4 linked regions of the Oryctolagus cuniculus genome follow. The protein of the gene in region 2 interacts with the protein of the main gene of each other region in a pairwise test. Links are inferred from orthologs where the notes say so. Each region holds a gene or a part of one and is shown on either strand. Other genes may lie near its edges.

Region 1 (5,392 bases), on a different chromosome or scaffold from region 2:
AACAGGTCCTCCAGGCTGGGCCCCAGCAGCTCCAGCACCATGGCGTTGTACTTGCCGCACGGGCCGAAGTAGTACACCTGCGGGACACCCTCTGCGGGCAAGCGCGGCGTGGCGGGCGGTGCCTGCGGCCGGCCCGGCCCGGCCACGCCCCCAGCCCCCGGCCCCGCCCCCGGCCACGCCCCCAGCCCCGCCCCCGGCCCGCCCCGCCCCGCCCGCCTACCTGCCGTGCTCAGCTGCTTGTAGAAGCGGTACTCCAGGTGCAGCTGCGGCGCCCGGGACTTGATGGGCTCCTGGGGAGGGGCGGGGCGGGCGCCGTGAGGCAGCGGCCGGGCCCAGGCCTGACGCTTGTAGTGAACGGGGGGGGGGGGGGGGCGCACTCACCAGTTTGATGGCCACGTACTCGTTCGTGTACAGATTCTTCCCTGCGGGACAGAGGCGCGGTCAGGGCGGCAGGCCCGGCCCGGCCCCAGGCGGACCGGCGGGAGCCACCAGCGACCCCGCCCTGGGTCGGAGGCCCGACAGGACAGCCGTGCACACCTGCCCCGGCCGGCGCAGCCCCGGCTTGGCCAGCACAGCCGGGCGGGGACAGGGCAGAGCCTCGGCGGGGCAGCCTCGCTCCAGTGCCTGCCCAACAGGCGGGAGGCAAGGGCGCGCCCCCCGCCCGCCCCGGGCGCCCCGAGGCCCAGGCCGCCCAGCCCTGGTGCGTAAGAGCCTGTGCGTCTTCACGCGGCTTCGCGCCATGGCGACGCCGACCCAGCTCCCGTGGGCCCCCCGAGGCCACCTCCCATCACAGCGCACGGCGCGGGGCTCCGGTCCCAGAGGTGCTGGCTGCGCTGGCCCGCGGGGCCCCGCTCTCCAGGGCCACGCACAGCTCGCCCGGCTTCGGCTCGGGCTGTGACCGTCCCCGCGGGCCTGCCCCGGCTTCCTCCCGCTCCAGGCCGCACAAGGCGCGCGCACAGGACCTCAGCCCCGGGGACACCCAGGCTCTGCGTGCCCCGAGAGGCAGAGCGCTGCCAGCGCTGGTTTGCTCCCCAAATGCCTGCGACAGGCAGGGCTGGGCCAGGCCGAAGTCCCGTGTGGGCCCCGTCGGGTCTCCCGTGTGGGTGCCAGGGGCCCCAGCGCCTGGGCCTTCGCGGCTGCCCCGGGGCTGCGCATGCGCAGGGCGCGCGGTGGGACCCGAAGGTCTACAGGGCTGGCGGTGAGCCTGGGGCAGTGCACCTGCGGCCGCCGGGACGCCCGGGCGCCTCCGCGCGTGCTGGGCCGCGGCCTCGCCCCAAGCCTTGTCCAGGCGTTGACGCGTCCCTATGGACGGCTGCCAGCGACCCCGGCCTGCGGCTGGCGCGCCCCCCGTGACCCGGCTGCGCCTCTCTGCCCGCCGGTCCTGCATTTGGCCACAGCGTCGCCCGTCTCCGCGGGGCAGCCCGGCAGGAGCTCGGCTCTGGGCTCCCGGCCTCACGCAGGCCCCGTGGGCGAGAGGGGCGGCGGGGCCTCGTGGGGACACTGCGAGGGCTGAGAGCCCCGGAGCCGGCCGCGGGGCTGGAGACCGCCCTGAGCCACGGGGTTCACGCTGGGGCTGTGCGGGAGCCACCCCGCGGCGAGACGGGGAGCGCGGGGGGCTCCAGGGAAGCCGGAGTCAAAGGGGAAGTTTACTTTGGTGCAAAAAAGCTAGAATTCAGGCTGGCGTGTTCCCAGCCTGCTCCGGCTCAAGCCAGCCCCGCCCCGGGGCTCCCAGCTCCCTCCAGGTAAACGAGCCGGGACCCCGGGTGTGGACTGGAAGGAGCCATCACTTCAAACTCGCTCAGGACTTAAGCCTCTCTCCCTCGCTGCCTTCCGACGCATACAGACAGACATAGAGACAGACAGACAGACAGAGACGGACATACATACAGAAACATGCACACATAGACATGCATACAGACAGACATGCGTACAGACGGACGGACACACATAGACATACATAGATACATACATACAGACGGACATACATATAGACATACAGACACACAGACATGCACACATACATAGACACGCATACATACAGACATGCATACAGACGGACGGACAGACGGACACAGGCAGCCTTAACTGAAGCCCCGCCCAACGTCCGAGTGCGAGACGGCCTGGAGTGCAGCGACTGCCCCGTCGCGGCGGCTGAGCGGGTCCCGGGGGCGGTCAGCGGCCCCGGGGCAGCACGCGCGCATCGCCTGGGCCCAGCTGCAGCCCACGCACCTGGACAGGTGGCCACGCGGTGGCTCCCGGGCTGGCCGCTGGGCTCACCCGGGGAGCGAACCGGAAGGAAGCCATGACCCTAAAGCCACACCGCGGGGCGGCCGTCGCCGCGTGCCGGCTCCGGCCCAGTCCTGGCCGCCGCGGTCCGTTTGGGGAGGGGACCAGTGATGAAGATTTTTCTCTATCGTTCTGCCTTTCAATAAATACATCTCAAACATCTGGAATTTTAATTAAAAGCAGACCGTGCCTAAACCCCGCACACTCTGAAACCAAGGGCACAATGTGGAGGACGGGGACGGGAGACGCTGCGCCAGGAGGGGCTCGGGAGGGGCCGCGGGCAGCGCCGGCACCCACGGGACACCTGCCGGCCCGAGCTGAGAGCCTGCTCGCGGGGCCGCGCACTCCTGGCCAGGACGCCGGCCACCCCGGGAGCTCCCCCAGGCCCACGCCAGCCCGCTCACCCGCACCTGCCAGGCAGCCCACCAGGCTTCAACCGCACGCCCTGTTCAGGTGGGGCAGGCGGGAGGGAGGCAGGGAGCGCCAGAACTCACACCGGACACCGCCGGAGCTGACCAGGGCAGGCCTCTGCCCCTGCCCCCCGCCCCCCGCCCCCCGGGGCGCACTCCAAGTCCCGCCCGCGCCCCGGTCCCCGCCGGCCGCCGCGCGGGGCTCACCTAGGCGAAGCTCCCCGAAGTTGCCACAGCCTATCTTCTTGCCGACTCGGAAGTTGGGGCCCACCATCAGGACCCCCGAGCTGGCCCCCGAGGTGCGCGCGCTGTGGCTGCTCCGGGCCCCGCCGCTCCTGGACATCCTCCGGCCCTCTTCCAACTCCCCTCTCCCTCCTTTCTTGTCCAAATCCATAAGTTTGTGGTACCCTGGCCTCTCCACGGTGACTGCCACACCAACGCCAAGGCTGCGGACGGCTGAGGCGCGGGCTCGCGGCGGCTACCACAGCCCCGCGCCGGCGGGCACGCGCACCCTCGCGGGCCCGGCCGTGGCGCGCATCTCGGTGGTCTCAGGGTGGCTCTCGGGCACAGGAGACATGCTGCTGGCGGTCCCGGCACCTCAGATCTCGTGGCCCCCAGCTGCGGAGAGACAGGCACAGGGTAAACCCAGGGCCCGCGGCCACCTGACCGGGGAGGGGCGGGGCAGCCGGGCACCGAGCCGCAGGGGTGCCCTGGCCGGGCGGTTTTCCCAGCAGCCACTGGGGGTCGTGGGGCTGAGGGCAGCGGGCGAGTCTAGGAGGGACGGTGGGGCACAGCCAGAGGGGAGGGGTCCGGCACTCAGCGCAGGGCCTGGGACGGCCGGGACCCCACCCTCGGCCCCCCTCCTGAACCCGGCCACTGTCCGTGTCCTCGGCCGGGAAACCCCACAGGTGGGAAGCCCGGCGCAGGCTGCACCCACCACTGGCCTTTGGCAGAGCAGTGCGCACGGGCCCTGTGCAGAGCCGCCGGGAGCCGCGCCCCTGCTCCCGCCCGGCCGTCCCGCCCCTGCTCCCGCCTCGGGCCGTGCCCCCCCATCCAGCCTCTCCTGCTCCGCCCCCGTCCCCACCGTCAGAATCAGCCCGGGAGGCACCAGCCTGGCCAGCGAGAAGGCGAAGGATCCCCGGGACGAGGACCCCCCTCCCCGGCACGAGGACCCCCGCAGGACGAGGACCCCCGCCCCCCAGCCGGCCCCAGCTGCTCCGCCCCCCAGCCGGCCCCCAGCTGGGGCTTCGGGAGCGCTGGGCGTGGCACTGAGCAGAGACCGGTCCGGGGGAGGCAGGGAAGGCGCCCCCATCCGCCATCCGCCAGTGCGCACCTGTCTGCGTGGGCTTCCCCAGCCGCCAGGGTCTACCACGGCCCCACCCCCACGGCCACTCGGCCCACCCTGCTGGGCCAGCAGAGCCGGCCGGGGGCCGCGGCAACCCAGCTGCCCCACTGCCCAGGGCCCCCAGACAGCAGACTCCTGGGTCCCGCCTCCCCTCGCCTGACGGAGGAGCCGCCCCAGCGCGGGGAGACACGCCAGGGCCCCCACGTGCAGGTCAGCAAAGCGTCCACTCCACCCCCAGCTGCCCCCAGCCCTGGGGTCCACCCACGGCGTCTGCGGGAGGCGGGACGAGCTGCAGGCAGCAGCCCCAGGCCAACGCGCCCCCCCCACAACCCCCCCCAGCCTCCACCATGTGTCCAGCCGGCCACCGCCCTCCCCGTCTCCCGGGCCCTGCCGTGTCCTGGGGCCGTACCCAGCAGGGCTGACTGGGCTGGGCCCCCAGTGCCTCCCTCTCCGGAGGACGCCCAGCCCCCACCTGCCCACCATCTGGGAGACCTCCCAGGTGGCGCTGCCCGGGTCCCACACTCAGCAAGTGTGCGGACAGCCAGCCTGGGGCCATCCCCGAGAGCCAGCACCTACAGCCACGGCCTAGAGGTGCACACCCAGACCAGGCCTCGCACACCCAGGGCAGGGCCTCGCACACCCAGGGCAGGGCCTCCACACCCAGGGCAGGGCCTCGCACACCCAGGGCAGGGCCTCCACACACAGGCCAGACCTCGCACACCCAGGGCAGACCTCCCTCACACACGCAGGCCAGACCTCGCACACCCAGGACAGGGCCTCCACACCCAGGGCAGACCTCCCTCACACACGCAGGGCAGACCTCGCACACCCAGGCAGGGCCTCCACACGCAGCCCAGGCCTCGCACACCCAGGCAGGGCCTCCACACGCAGCCCAGGCCTCGCACACGCAGGCCAGGGCCTCGCACACCCAGGGCAGGGCCTCGCACACCCAGGCCAGGCCTCGCACACCCAGGCCAGGGCCTCCACACGCAGGCCAGACCTCCCACACCCAGGGCAGGCCTTCGCACACCCAGGGCAGGCCCTCACACACCCAGGCCAGGCCTTCGCACACCCAGGGCAGGGCCTCCACACGCAGGCCAGACCTCGCACACCCAGGCCAGACCTCGCACACCCAGAGCAGACCTCACACACCCAGGCCAGGCCCTCACACACCCAGGCCGGACCTCCCACACGCAGGCTGGTTCAGGTCCCCAGGCTTGGACCCCATGCAATGCCAGCTCCCCAGTGGAGGCCCCGACTCTGGGACCCCGCCCTGGCCACAGGGACGGCTCTGTCCACGGGCACTGACCACTCAGGGGAAGACTCCTATCCACGCCCAGAGGGGGCTCCG
Region 2 (5,296 bases):
TTACTTTTCTACAACCCACTCCAGCATATTTGACATCAGTTCAGCTCTGACTTCTAAGCCTCACCATCAAACCCATTCTAAGAGCTCACTCATGCCAATGACTCAAGTCCTTCTTTTCTAGGGTCCCCTAATGACCACGTTCTTATTTCTACCTCACTGTGACTCCGCCACCTAGACGCTGACTTCAAACAAACAGTTCCCTTCCGTCAGTGTGTTTGCTCCCTAGGTTCCCGTTCCTTGGCTAGATCCTCACTTCTGCAGTCACGCAAACACAAGTCTGGCTCACAGCATCTTCCACGAACAGAGCAGTGGATACAGCATTGCACAGACTCAGCCACTTACATCTTCTGTGAGCAGAGGTTTGGCAAATTAACTTTCGTGAGCTTCCGTTTTTGAGTCTGTTGTCTGAACAACTGAATAAAATAATGAAAGTGCCCAGCACAGTCATGGAAGATAATGTTCCACTACTGCTTTTCTATCTCTATATCCCAACACCAAATTCTGATCTTCTTTCCTTCATATTCAACTCTCATATTTGCCTTCTCCTTTGAACTTTCAACTATTCCAATCAATGAACATGTTCCTAGACTGCCTGACCTCTAAGTACCTTTTCCGTATTCATAAGTTACATCATTTTATTTAATGACCAATCATATTTGCTTACTTCTCTTACATCTTAACCTTGATTCTCCAGCTCCAAAACATAAGTACCAAGTTCCCATTTCCTTCACACCAACCGTTCAGACTGGTGTTCAAGACCTTCCATGGATGAATTTCACTTTCCCATCAGCACCCTTCCAAAAGGCAAGTCACCGTGTGACATGGTCATGTTCCTTCCCCTGATGCGTGCTTATCTGAACAGGCTTAGAACAGTGCCCAGCACACAGTACAGTCTCAGTGCCTGGCAGCATTATGCCCAAGTCACCCTCACCTTCAGCTCTCACTACAACAGACTCTCTTCAAAGTGACAGGAGAGACTTCTGCAACTGTGTAGCCATCATTTCATATAATTTTCTTCTAGAGGACTCCACAAATCACATCAGCCTCAGGACTGCATCCAGCAAACATTGCTGTTACTACCACATCTGGAAGACAGGTTTTCGCCTTTTCTCTACCCTCATGCTTCCCCATTTAACCAACACAAAGCAGTGTGTTGCAAACTGCAGGAGAATCAGAGATTCCTATCACCAATAGCCCAGCAAGCACAAATTCAAGAGGAAAAACAAACAGTATTTTGACAAAGAATCAGAACCAAGTTACATATAAAATACTGTGAAAATTCAAAGAAAGGAAATCTGAAAGACTGACAAAGTGAGCAAAGGCTCCACGTAGTATCTGAGATGACAGAATCACTGTGGAGAAACTGAGGCCCAGGAGACCACCAGGCGCGGAACGTGCAGAAGCAGCTGAGATCTCGTTTATCTGAGCTTCAGCGGCCCAGGGCCTACTGAAGTGTGACTCTTTTCCCAATCATCATTCATCCTGTTACCTGTGATTACCATTCGGAATTATCACCTATCCAAGATTTCTGGAACTCTTAAATGAATCTGTAAGAAATACGCTGTATAGATATTTTCATGTATTCACGTCATCATATAGAAAAAAAAAACTCTTTGCACTAGTATATTTCTGATATCAATTTGCACACCCCATTCCAAATCCACTCCATTTGGGGGGATGAGGAATATAATGTATTGGGACTTTACATTATTCAACACAAGGAAAAGGGCAGATGCTGAGTTAACTCTTGTTTAAAATATCAGATAAATACAAAGGAATTAAACACATAATACATACGTAAAAACATGCACCTGATCAGTATACATAATCACTATAAAATGTCCTTGATTAAAAGCTTCCAGAAACACTACACGGAGCCATACTTAAATCTCAGCAAACTTCCCTTCACACAGCTCTTAACAAAAACACTAAAAGCTACATTCTGCGAGTCCACATACGCAGCAACAACCAGACCGGCAGTTACCTGCCGTCCACAGGAGCGGTCTGCGCATTTCCACGCCGAGGTCACGGCCCCCCATTTTCATATGTCCACTGTATTACTCCGCAGGAGTGCTGGTGACTTTTTCCACCAGCCACGGCACTCCACCTCTCTCCAAACAGGTCAAAAGGACAGTTTGTTTCACAGAATACTTAACCCTGCCACAGTACTGATATGGTAGTCTGCTGCTTATCTAAAGAGAAGTGATGCAACTACTGGAGACACTGAGAAGCGAAGAACTCACTTCGCAGACAGTCCCATCAGAAGTCTGCACCTTGCACACTGGGATTCACTCCAGACTCCCACACGACAAGACCATCTGACCACAGAGACCCCAGGGAGCGTCCCCGTACTGAACTCCGTCACCTGTCCACTGTGCTGTCACCACTCGCACACCAGCCTGCACACTGCTGCCAGCCTAGGCCCTTCCCCTCCAGCCTGCTAAAGGCGGTCACAAGGCCTAACGGGAAACACTTCCACCGACGACGTCCCAACGTCTCGCAGAGCCACGCGGGGCGATTCTGCACGTGACCCAGCATCAATCCACGACCAGCTGGTGAGGGGCCGGCTCTCCTCCGCTCAAGTCCACTGCCCAGCCGCTGCCACAGGTTCAACAGTCGCAGCGAGGGAAGTCGCAGCAGGCCGCGGGGCTGCGCGCACGGCGAACACGCGGAACGCGGAACCGCACACGCCGCGCGCGTCCCGAACGCCTTCCCCACCCACAACCCACGGCGAGCGGCTCCGACGGGGTCCCAGCCGCCGCGAACGTCCCGGCACCGTCACGTGCCCGTCCACGGGCTCTGCGCCGGGCGAGCACCCAAGTCCTCAGTCCTGGCTCACCGCGCGCCGGCCCGGAGGCGGGGTCCGACCCAGCCCAGGCCCGGCCCCGAGGCCGCGCGGGCAGCGCCGCCGGCCCACGGCGCGGAGGCGCCTCGCCCCCGGGCCGCAGGTGAGCCCGGGCGGGGCGCGGCCGCGCGCGCGCGCTCACCTTGCTCAGGACCCCGCAGCGCTCCACCGGCGGCCCGGACTCGGTCTCCGGGTCCTCCTCCGAGCCCGACGAGTTCCAGCTCTGGTTGTCCGACATGGAGGCGCGACGGCCGAGCGGGAGAGCGGCCCCGGCGGCCCGGCCTGCGCCGCAGCAGGCGCCCGGCGCCCGCGGACAGGGCTCTGGGGACGGCGAGGCGGCGGGCACACGCCCCGGCGCGGGGGGCGGCAGCAGCGGGGAAGCCCGCCCGCCGCGTCGCGGCCGCCGCGCCTGGCTCCGGGCGGAGCGGGGAAGGCGAACGAGCGGCGAGGGAAGCCCGCTCTTCCGCTTCTCGGCCGCCGCCGTGACCCTGCGCTGCGCCCGGCGCCGCCGCCCGGACCCGGCCGCTCGCTGCCACCTCGGACAGGGCGCGGGAGCGGCAGGGAGGACGAGCCCAGCCGCGGAGCGCGGGTCCCTCACGCCGCCGCCGCCGCCATCTTCCTGCCCAGCACTATTTACCCTCCCGCCCCTCCCCTGCCCCTCCCCGCCGGCTCCTCGGCTCCCGGCTCCCGCCCGCTCCCTCCCCGGCGTCTGACGCGCGGCGCCCAGGGCCCGGGTCCCCGCCGGCGACGCCGGGCCGGAAGTGCAGCGCGGGGGCGGGGCGGCGGCGCGCGGCGTTCTGGGCGGGGCGCGCGCGGCCTGCTGGGAGCTGTAGTCGGGGCGCGACGGCGGGTGAGTCGGCGGCGCGGGGACGCGGGGTCGGCGGGTGGGCGAGGCTGCGGTGAGGTGGCCGCGGCGGCGGGGACCCTCCGTGAGGACGCGGAGGGGCCGGCTGGTCGAGCGGGCGGGCTCCGGCGGCCGGGGCCGCGCCGGCCGTGGCGGGAGACTGGGTTTTGCTTTGAGGCGGTCGGGGAACGGGCGACGCCGCAGGGCTGTGCGTTGAGCCGCCTGTCCCCGGCGCCTGTTCGCCGTTTCCTGAGGGTCGCCGCTAGTCAGCGTCGTTATTAAGATGCGGAGCGCTCGCTGACTGCCGGGCTGGGCAGAGCCTCGGGGTCTGAGGGAGGAAGCGCGCGGCCCGGAACGACTGGTAGTGGCGAGAGGCGCGTGGGGACGCGCGGGACGGGCCGTGGGTCTTGCCCGGGCAGAGGCTGACAGCTGCGATGCTGTGGTGAAGTCGCGGTGGCGCGCGGAGGGCCTGCGAGAGGGGGCGTTTGGATCCCTCGGTCCTCGCGCTAACGCACGGGCCCGAGGCTGTCGTTCAAGAGCGAGAAAGGAGGACATTGACTTGGCGGTTGACGCCTCTTGGGTGGGTGGCGGAAAGTGCGCCTTCACCACGTTACGTTTCGCTCTGCCGTAGCCTGGAGATGGCCTGGTATGGCTAGACTTGCTATTTCTGGTTTTCTCAAGCGCTAGGTTTTTAAAATATCACTAAGTAAACGAATCATTGAGAGATTCACTTCATAATGCAGTTTAGACTCACAGGAGCGTACGTTTTAAATTGAACTTTCTGTGGTGTTTTATACCTTTTAAGGTTGTGTGTGGTTAGAACCACCAGCAGTTAGATCACTACGTTACCCACTTGGTAGGAAATTGCTTCATCGTATTTAGTATCAGTGTGAAAAAGTGCCTTTTTACAAAAAGGTTCTTAGTACATTTTTCCTTTGTAGTTAAACACTAAAGTGTTTTTAGGTACAGAAAGATTTTTGTGTAATGATTACAATCCCACATTAGAGGTTGGGGTTTACTTAATTACTGTCAATGGAAAGAAATTGTAGTACTGGGATATGTGAGCTTTCTTTGTTCATTTGGAGTGATAGCTGTTGAGTTTTCTTTCTCGCTTAGGGACTTCCCTGCCCAACCTCTGATAAATGCCACATATCTTCTCATTTTATTTAGTGTTTACTATTACAAGTTTTTGAGGAACTTCATTTTATTTTTAGAACATTGTGAAGAAATGGCATGTTTACGGTATTAACTATTTATGTTGTCTAGGTACTTTCAATATGTGAACTCATTCCTTAAAGATCATACACAGAGGGTAGGCATTTGGCCTAGCTGTTGGGACTTCCAAATCTCATGTCGGAGGACCTGGGTTTGTGTCCAGGTTCCGCTTCTGATTCCAGCTTCCTGATTATGTGCACCCTGGTGGGGGAGGGGGTCGTGGAATGTGATGACTTAAGTAGTCATGGGTCTCTGCTGTCCACATGGGAGCCTCCCCGGAACCTGGACTTCGCTCCAGCCCAGCCTCAACAATGGTAGGCATTTAAGGATTGAAACAGTGGATATGTATCTGTATCTCTCTCTGCCTGTCAAATCAAGAAAAGTAAATTTCA
Region 3 (4,606 bases), on a different chromosome or scaffold from region 2:
AAGCATAAGGATGGAGAAACCATCCTGGGTCTCTCAGTCTTCATTCTGAAGGCTCCCATGTCACGAAAAACTATAATCAAATGCATCTGTCATGCTTCTGTCTTGTTGACCTTTTATTATAGAGGGGTTGGCCATAACCCTGCATGGGGGGCAGGAAACCTACCGAGTTTTCTCAGCAATACCACCAGAACCTGCACATGTGACTGACCTTCAAGGAGTCAACCAGATCTTCCACCAGGAAGAGACGAATGATGAGTTTCAGAGCCCTGTTGATGTGCACCATGGCGGCATTCATGTAATTGTGGAAGGCTTCTGAGGACAGGGTGATGTCCACATCCAGGTAGGCTCTTCCCAAGGAAGAAACAACAGTCACACGTTTGACACGGAAAAAGATTTTCTGTCAGCACAGCAGCCCTAGGCAGTGCTTTCCAGACCTGAAGGGACATTTCTGGCTGCCGTGGGAAGGAAACGCTACTGTCGGTTAGGAGGAAAGGAGGGCGGACGTCTGCATGGGACAGGACAGGCACGACGGCAACCAGCTGCCCTGCACTCTGTGGCACAGCTGCCGCCTCAGGAAGGTGAACTGACTTACAGCTCAGAACCCAGAACACATACAGTCATTTTCTCCATATTTACAACACATCCTGAATTTTCTAAAAATATTTCTATGATAAAACTTACATTAAATTTTTTTAAAATAAAGTTTTTTACTGTTTTGGAAAATTACATCTTATTGGTGATTATACATGCAGGTACAAGTTTATGACTTATTCATTATATATTTTTGGTATTGTCATGTCCAAGTAATTGAATACTGACTGAAACACCTTACAAATGCTTTCTGTTATCACATCTTTCTGTTATAATTGACCTATTTATTTAAAATGTAGATAGATTACACTACTTATGAATTTAATTTCTATATGAACTTCATTTCATACAGTTCTATATGATAAGGAGGCAGAACAACATTTGTTGACAAACCAGGAGGGTGGAGATGTGGGGTCTGACAGGTTCTGAAAACCACACCAAACCCGAGGCCCCAGTTCTGTCCCAGAGGTCCCATGCGCTGCTGACCTGCCCATACACTCAGCGTGTACTGGGTGCCTGCTGCCTGGCAGAGACTGCTCGGTGCTGGGATGTCAAACAGGTGAAGACTGTTTTTGCCTTAAGAGGCTCACAGTCTTGTGGGGAAACAGAATAGTGACAGACATACTTCCCTTCCGATCAAGAGAATATTTACTACCAACCAAAGAGTTTTAAAAACCAGAGGTTGTAGTTACTACAACTGAGTAGACAAACGTGGTTAAGCCTCCAGTGTCATGCAAAAGCGGGGGGGAGGGGGGGATTAAGATACCTGCGCTTGCTGAAAAACACTATAATTTATTTGCTCATTCATTTGATAACTACTGATTTGTTAAAACTAATTGGCAATACATGTTCTTTCTTTCCTCCCAGAAACCTTTGATTTAAGGTATCCAAACTTCACGTCCAAACTTCACGCATTTCATAAATACAACTTCAGGAACACAGTGATTCTTCCCACCGTACCCACTCCCACCCTTCTCCCTCCTCCCTCTCCTGTTCCTATTCTTATTTTTTACTAAGATCCATTTTCAATTAACTTTATACACATAAGATCAACTATACACTAAGTAAAGAGTGCAACAAATTGTATGAAAAAATAAAACCTTGTTCCTGAACAGTCGAGGCAAGGGCTGTTCAAAGTCATCCCATCTTGCAGTGTCAATTTCACTTCTATAGATGACCTTTTAGGTGCTCTATTTTGCAATGTCACATATATGGTTTATGTTTATTTTCACCAAGAGAAAATACAAGGGCCAGAGCAGCAGCCAGAAACCTGTTCGGCTGTAGTCCTCAGAGGTCACAGGAGGGGTTCCTTCTCTGTGAAAAAGCCTTTTAAAAAACTGTCAACTGGACTGGTTGCTTTTTGTTGTGGAGTTTTTTAAGTTGCTGATGTATGCAGGATATTAATCTTTTGTTGGATAGGTGGTTCACAAATAAATGACCAACAAATATATGAAAAAATGATCAAAATCAGTAGCCATCAGACAAATGCAAATCAAAACCACAATGAGGTATCACCTCACCCCGGTCAGAATGGCTAAAATCCAGAAAGTAACAAATGCTGGCAAGGACACAAAGGGAAACACTTATTCACCATTGGTGGGAATGTAAATTAGGACAGCCACTGTGGAAAACAGTGTGGAGATTTCTTGAAAAACTAGGAACAGACTTGCCGTATGATCCAGGAATCCCACTCCTGTGTATATACCCAGAAGACTTGAACACAATGTATCAAGAGATACTTGAACTACAGTGTTTATAGCAGCACTGATCCCAATAGCTGAGATTTGGAACCAACAAGGCGTCCACCATCAGATGAATGGATAAGGAAAGTGTGGTTTATATACACAATGGAATACTATTCAGCCATAAAAAGACTGAAATTCTACCATTTGCAGCAAAATGGATGCAACTGGAGAACATTATGTTGAGTGATGTAAGCTGGACCCAGAAAGACAAATACTGCATGTTCTCCCCTATGTGTGGGAGCTAAAACTTAAAAACAAACAAACAAAAACAAAACAAAACAAAACAAAGAAATGTCTGTGTGATCCAGTATTGCTGCAAATATAGTTTTGTAAAACCCTGTTTTATACCTTTGTCAAACCAATGGTTAAGAATATTATACTACTATAGTTTTAATGATCTGTGATTACTTTAAAATTTACTGTATATGGGTGACATGGTCATTTTTCCATTCAATTATTATTTATAGCCATTATCTATGTTCCCACTAAACTAAGGTCTTTTTGTTTTTTACTTGTTAAATCTCTTATTTGGTGAAGTAATAAACCTTTTCACTGTAACATAAATTTAAAATGTTACCTCAAAAACTAAATTAAAAAAAGGATAAGAAGGAGAGAGGAAGGGAATATAATTATGTTCTTAGAGTTGTTATCTACAAATATTGTGTGTTAAAAAACAATTAAAAATTAAAATAAAAGCATTAAAAAAAACTCCATCAGCTGCTACTATAATGTAAACATTTTCTGTGGCCCAACATTCTGCAGAGGAAAAGCATGAAAAACACGTAATGTGAAAGTGAGAGCACACCCAGAGAAGCTAGAATCACGTCTTAGACGTGCGGGACCCGCCGACCTGCCTGTGGTATCAAGCAAAGTAAAGCGCTAAGGAGAAAATGAGGAGGAAGACCAGGAGTAACCAGCCTGGGTTCCGGTACCACTAAGAGCAAGGCCTCAACAGCAAGATTTCAAAGTCGCTTCAAGACTTACCTATCTGGGGCATCCCCACGTGCCTGGGACGCCATCTGAGTGCTGTCCCTGGCGCTCTGCTTTCCCTACCCTGCCCAGAAATGTCAAGTCCTTTTTGGACTCGACATGTGAGTCTCTAGTTTGTCAAAAAGTTCTTACTTCCTAATTCAGCTGCTTCTAAGAAGACCTCAAGGTCTCTAACTGGGGGTTCACACCCCTGCTCAGCTGTACTGGACCCAGTAATTCTTCATGTGTAGCTAGGTCAAGTTTTGGACCTAATCAGCCTCAGCAAACCCCTCTGCTACAACATGCAGTGTCACTCGAGATACTCCAACTCACTTGAACGGATGGCCTTCTTCTGACTTCTGCACAGCTTGGATGACAGACTTGTAGACCCTGAAGCTGATGGTGACAGACAGAAGAGCCAGGATGAGGTAAGAAACCACACTGATAACGCTGAAGGCTGCCAGGGAGAGCAGCATGATCAGCGTGGTGCCAAAGACAAAGCCAGTCTTCTTCACGTCTCGCCAGAAAATCAGATCGTGCACTGCCAAAGGAAAAAGGAAAGGAGGTTATAAGAACAGCTGCCAGCCACCAGGCCAGGACTGCTCCCCAGCTCCGGGAGCACCTGGGGCACAGATCCAGGCATATCTCACTTATCAAAGCTAAATTAAAATGCGCAAACTGGGATGTGGGCTACCCAGCTGGAGTTCCCAGCCCCTGGCCTCAGTCTGGCCTAGTCCTGGCTGTTGCAGGCAACTGGGAAGTGAAGGAAAACAGACCAGCCTCTATCAGCATCAGTTACAGCGAAACATCAGTTTCCGTGTTAGTCTGAGGAGAAGCCAGGAAGGATGATGGGTAGGAAATCATACAATTATCTAAACCATAATGCTTCTGAAAGTGAGGGCACTATTAACAATTACGTCAGGAAGTTGAATTTGCACTTCAGTCCATTAAAAGGACATGTCGGCACTAACAGCCCTACTGCGAGCTCCCTTACTTGGCCGAAGAAGGGCTTTGTAGCTAGAGACACAGGGGCTTGAGTTGTGGTATTTCTAACTACATCACTTTAACCTTCCCAAGCCTCCACATTCTTCTTCTTTTTTTTTTTTTTTGACAGGCAGAGTGGACAGTGAGAGAGAGAGACAGAAAGGTCTTCCTTTTTCCGTTGGTTCACCCTCCAATGGCCTCTGCAGCCGGCGCACTGCGCTGATCCAAAGCCAGGAGCCAGGTGCTTCTCCTGATCTCCTGCGGGTGTAGGGCCCAAGCACCTGGGCCATCCTCCACTGCACTCCCTGGCCACAGCA
Region 4 (4,606 bases), on a different chromosome or scaffold from region 2:
GTTCAAATCCCTGCTCCACCCCCGTCCAGCTCCTCCACCCCTCTCCGGCTTCCCAGCCTCTGCCCGACCTTCTGCCTCCCGTGAGCCAACGGTGAAGGGTCCTGGGCACACGGAACTGAGCCAGGACCTCGTCACGTGGCCCCGTCTAGGAGCCAGGGCCTCACACTGGGCTGTGGGGGGCGGGGGGCAGGGCACAGGCCCTGGCGGCCCTGGTGGTCTCTGTCCCTGCCCACATGCAGACTTTTTTCCGGCCCCTCCTCCCTGGCCAATAGGGGGCCTGCACGGCATGGTTGACAGTCCCCGGGAGGATGGGCACAGGTTCTGTGCCGAGGCTGGGCCGTGTCACCAAGGGAACTGGAGCATCCACGGAGCCTGGCGTGCACGGGGGACCCTGGAGGCAACTGAGGGCCAGCCTAGCTGTGTGCTTACCATCGGTGTCCCTGCCACAGCCGGTCCTCTCGAAACCAGAAACCTCGCTGACCCTCTCACCGCCACGTCCCCAGTGCCCGGGACCTGACGCGGAGCGCTGGAGGAGCGACAGGACGCGCCAGTGGAGGGACCTGAGGCTGCCGGCCCGGATCTGCCCTGCTCCCGGACCCCCTCAGCCTGGCCCCCGCAGGCTCACACCAGCCCTGTGGCGCCCCCATCCCCGCCCCCCATCCATCACAGAAGCCAGCACGGGTTCCAAACCAGATGTTTATTTGTGTATATAAAACAAGGCCCCAGGCGGGAAAGGCACCCCTCAGAGAGGACCCGGACCACACAGCCTGAAAGACTAGAACACTCAACTCCCCCCCTCCCCTATCAAAGCTGATCAGTTACTATTCGCTCTCGGCCCACTTAAAACCTAACCAACCGAGCCCAGTGGGATGACCCCAGGAAGGCGCCGGCGAACACAGGGTGGCTTCTAGGCACGGGGGAGGCCGGCCGACGGCCACGCCCACCCCCATAACGGAGCAGCTGGACGAGGCTTTCCCTGCACGGGGTCCAGGGCTGGCGCCCCATCCTCCCTCGGCCTGGAGCCCACTCTGCCAACAAGATAAAAACTCAGAGTCAAGAAACATCCAAAGCCAGCTAACTCTAACCCCGCCCCACCCCTGCCCCCTGCCCACCTCGTCCCCAGGCCCCTGGAGAGGCCACCGGCTCACACCCGGGCCCCCTCGTCATACTCCTCCCTGGTCATCCACTCCGACTTGTACGTGGACAGGTGGGCCATGAGCGACGCCCCGAGCCAGACGCTGAAATTCCTGTTGCTGCCCACCCAGAGCGTGGCCTTGGCGGAGGCGAAGTGCTCGGCCGACAGCTCCTTCTGCAGGCGCTTGGTGAAGCCGGGGTACAGCGTGTTCCCGCCGCAGGCCATGACGTGCGAGATGAGCTGCTCGTGCGTGGAGGCCTCGCACGTCTTGATGGACTCCACCACCATCTCCGGCACGCTGGGCCCCGGCAGGTCGAACACCTGCGGGCTGAAGAACATCTCGGGCGCCAGGCGCTGCATAGGCGTCAGCTCGGCGGACGTGCCGTCGGGCAGCAGGTAGGTGTTGCTCTCGTCCGCGCCGCTCGGCAGGCTCTGGCAGAAGTCCAGCGCCTCGCCCAGGTTCTGCGGCACGTAGCACTTGCCCATCTGCGTGCCGGTCACCGTATCCAGCTGGAAGAGGTTGTGCGGGTCGGAGTGCTCCTTGAAGATGCTCTTGCGGAGGTAGGCAGCGAGGTCCTGGCCGGCGAACTCCAGGGTCTTGCAGCTGGAGGGGGAGGTGCGGCCCAGGTGGAAGGGCTGCACGCGGGTCAGGCCATAGCCGGAGTCCAGCACGGTGCCGGTGAGCAGCCCCGAGGCGTACAGCGACATCTCCATCTGGTTGGCCAGCAGCAGGGCCGGGACATCGAGCAGCTCAAACATGACCTGCAGCCCGGAGGCGGGGGACACTCAGTGGGTCGCCCCCAAACCCAGGGCCCCGCGCCCGCCCTGGAAGCTGACATCCTGGCGGGGCGGGGATGGGGACTCTTGGGCTGTCCCTCGGGACGCTGGGACGGGGGACGGGGTTCTGCGGCTCGGGTGTGGGAATGTGGGAGGGGCTCTGGGGATGACAAGGAGGCGGGAGTGCTTGGCAGGGGGAGCCTTATCCTCTTCAGCAGAACCTCTCCAAAGATCAAGACAAACTGAACTGCCAGCCCCGCCCCGCCCCACAGCCCCACCCCTGCCAGCCCCGCCCCACCCCGCCCTGCAGCCCTAACCCCACCCCTGCAGCCCCGCCCCGCCCCGCCCCGCAGCCCCAGGCCCACGCCTGCCAGCCCTGCCCCGCCCCGCCCCGCGGCCCCAGGCCCACGCCTGCCAGCCCCGCCCCGCCCCGCCCTGCAGCCCTAGCCCCACCCCTGCAGCCCCGCCCCGCCCCGCAGCCCCAGGCCCACCCCTGCCAGCCCCGCCCCGCCCCGCCCCGCCCCACAGCCCCAGGCCCACCCCTGCCAGCCCCGCCCCGCCCCGCCCTGCAGCCCTAGCCCCACCCCTGCAGCCCCGCCCCGCCCCGCCCCGCAGCCCCAGGCCCACCCCTGCCAGCCCCGCCCCACCCCGCCCCGCAGCCCCAGGCCCACCCCTGCCAGCCCCGCCCCACCCCGCCCCGCAGCCCCAGGCCCACCCCTGCCAGCCCCGCCCCGCCCCGCCCCGCGGCCCCACCCCTGCCAGCCCCGCCCCATCCCGCCCCGCAGCCCCAGGCCCACCCCTGCCAGCCCCGCCCCGCCCCGCCCCGCGGCCCCACCTCCAGCGTCTTGCGCCGGTCCGCGGGCTCCTGCAGCGGGGTCTCGGTGACGATGACGGGGGCGTCCTCGTGCTCCTGCCTGTGCCGCTCCAGGACGAAGGACCAGATGTGCTCGACGCCCTCCCAGTTGAGGACACGGCCGCGCTCGACGGGGTAGCTGAAGGTGTCGGGGTGGCACAGGTCGACGCCCAGGCTCACGCGCCGCCGGGCGTAGCTGGGGCCAGGGTTCTCCCGGCACGGGATGTAGTTCACCACGCTCGGGAGGATCATCTGGGGCTCGTTCCAGCCGGACAGGCCGGCCTTCAGAAAGGCAGAGCCGTGGTCGATGACGATGGTTTTCCCGGCCATGGCTCAGGCACGCGGGGTCTCAGGATGCTTGGCAAACGAGGGGACCTGTGGGGGAGAGGCTGCGGGTTACCTGCCGGCCTTCCGCCCCCGCGCCGGCCACCGGGCCTCTGGGAAGCTTGGCCGATTACCCTGCCACGCCGTTGCGAGCAGTGCCGGGCCTGCCACGCTCTCCCCGTGCCTAACTCATCCTAGGAATCCCGCGCTGCGGCCACCTGCCCACTGCACTCCTCCCACTGCCCCAGGGCAGAGGCCGCGGGGAAGGTCTCTCTAGAGACTCAGCGAGATCCAGGGCGCGGGAAGGGCCTGGCAGCTGCTGGCTGCCCGCTTAGACGGCACGGGAATGCGGGCGGCACCGCTGCGGGCCAGCGGCTAGCGACCAGCAGGCGGGGTGACGGCCGGAGCGGCCTTTGCCGGGCACAGACCCTCTCCCCACTCCGGGAGGGACATTTTGCATATGAGATCGAGCTGTGGGAAACTCATTTGTGCTGGCCAAAAATGGCCGGGCATCAGCAGGAACACAGGAACGCAGCCCGTCTCCCCCACAGCCTACAGGGCAGGGGCCATCCTTGCACCCATCTTACAGATGGGGAGATCGAGGCTCAAGGGTTAAATTACCTTCCCAGCCCTTATAACCAACAAGGGCAGGGCAGGGGCACACACTGAACAGCAGGCAGATGTCGCTTGGGGGTGGGGGTAGGGATTACACCTTCACTTATTTGAAAATCAAAGAGACAGATGGGGATCTTCCATCTGCCGGTTCACTCCCCAAATGACTGTAACAGCAGGGCTGGGCCAGGCCAACGCCAGGAGCCAGGAGCCAGGAGCCAGGAGCCAGGAGCTCCATCCGGGTCTCCCGCACGGGCGGCAGGGACTCATGCTAGAGTCATCAGCGCTGCCGCCCAGGGTGTACTGGCAGGAGCCAGGATCAGGAGCGGGGCAGGGATGGGACCCAGGCGGTCCAAGCACCCCAAACAGTACCATGCCTACAACTCCAGACGCCCACCCCAGGAATTAGGTTTTGAATATGAACTAAGCAGCTTATTTTTTTAAATATTATTTATTTGAAAGACAGTTATAGAGAGGCAGAGAAAGAGAGAGAAAGAGAGAGGTCTTCCATCTGCTGGCTCGCTCCCCAGATGGCCACAACAGCCAGAGTTACACCGATCTGAAGGTAGGAGCCAGGAGCTTCTTCTGGGTCTCCCACGTGAGTACAGGGGCCCAAGGACCTGGGCCATCTTCTACTGCTTTCCCAGGCCATAGCAGAGAGCTGGATCGAAAGTGGAGCAGCCAGCACTAAAACCGGCGCCCATATGGGATGCTGGCACTGCAGGTGGTGGCTTTACCTGCTACGCCACAGCACTGGCCCCAGCAGCTAATTTATCATATAAAGGAGACTCCAAGCACAATGCCTCCCCATGGTGGTGATCAGTTTGCCTGTCAGCGCAGTGGGGTGATGCTCACCCCCACGCAGAGGAAAGGCTGCGTCACTGCCCCAAGTCACTGCCTGACGC

Evidence for each region.
Region 1: the proteins of CERT1 (region 2) and CSNK1G2 interact in binary tests that used the Homo sapiens proteins (3 or more experiments, as listed by UniProt). The two-hybrid records come from large-scale screens. The link is inferred for Oryctolagus cuniculus from reciprocal best matches to the Homo sapiens genes CERT1 and CSNK1G2.
Region 3: the proteins of CERT1 (region 2) and RTN3 interact in binary tests that used the Homo sapiens proteins (3 or more experiments, as listed by UniProt). The link is inferred for Oryctolagus cuniculus from reciprocal best matches to the Homo sapiens genes CERT1 and RTN3.
Region 4: the proteins of CERT1 (region 2) and ACTL8 interact in binary tests that used the Homo sapiens proteins (3 or more experiments, as listed by UniProt). The two-hybrid records come from large-scale screens. The link is inferred for Oryctolagus cuniculus from reciprocal best matches to the Homo sapiens genes CERT1 and ACTL8.

The regions. Positions count from the first base shown.
Region 1 is NC_091447.1:58,971,015-58,976,406, reverse strand, and holds the start of CSNK1G2 (casein kinase I), read right to left. Parts: upstream 3,243-5,392; 5' UTR 3,091-3,242; coding exon 2,904-3,090; intron 423-2,903; coding exon 382-422; intron 291-381; coding exon 1-290. UniProt on the Homo sapiens protein: Serine/threonine-protein kinase. Casein kinases are operationally defined by their preferential utilization of acidic proteins such as caseins as substrates. It can phosphorylate a large number of proteins. Participates in Wnt signaling.
Region 2 is NC_091445.1:574,601-579,896, forward strand, and holds the start of CERT1 (ceramide transfer protein), read right to left. Parts: upstream 3,461-5,296; 5' UTR 3,084-3,460; coding exon 2,988-3,083; intron 2,949-2,987; exon of another isoform or gene 2,593-2,948; intron 2,556-2,592; exon of another isoform or gene 2,419-2,555; intron 1-2,418. UniProt on the Homo sapiens protein: Shelters ceramides and diacylglycerol lipids inside its START domain and mediates the intracellular trafficking of ceramides and diacylglycerol lipids in a non-vesicular manner.
Region 3 is NC_091432.1:7,442,021-7,446,626, forward strand, and holds part of RTN3 (reticulon-3), read right to left. Parts: intron 3,847-4,606; coding exon 3,639-3,846; intron 348-3,638; coding exon 209-347; intron 1-208. UniProt on the Homo sapiens protein: May be involved in membrane trafficking in the early secretory pathway. Inhibits BACE1 activity and amyloid precursor protein processing. May induce caspase-8 cascade and apoptosis.
Region 4 is NC_091438.1:152,535,347-152,539,952, forward strand, and holds the end of ACTL8 (actin-like protein 8), read right to left. Parts: intron 3,141-4,606; 5' UTR 3,096-3,140; coding exon 2,748-3,095; intron 1,898-2,747; coding exon 1,145-1,897; 3' UTR 689-1,144; downstream 1-688.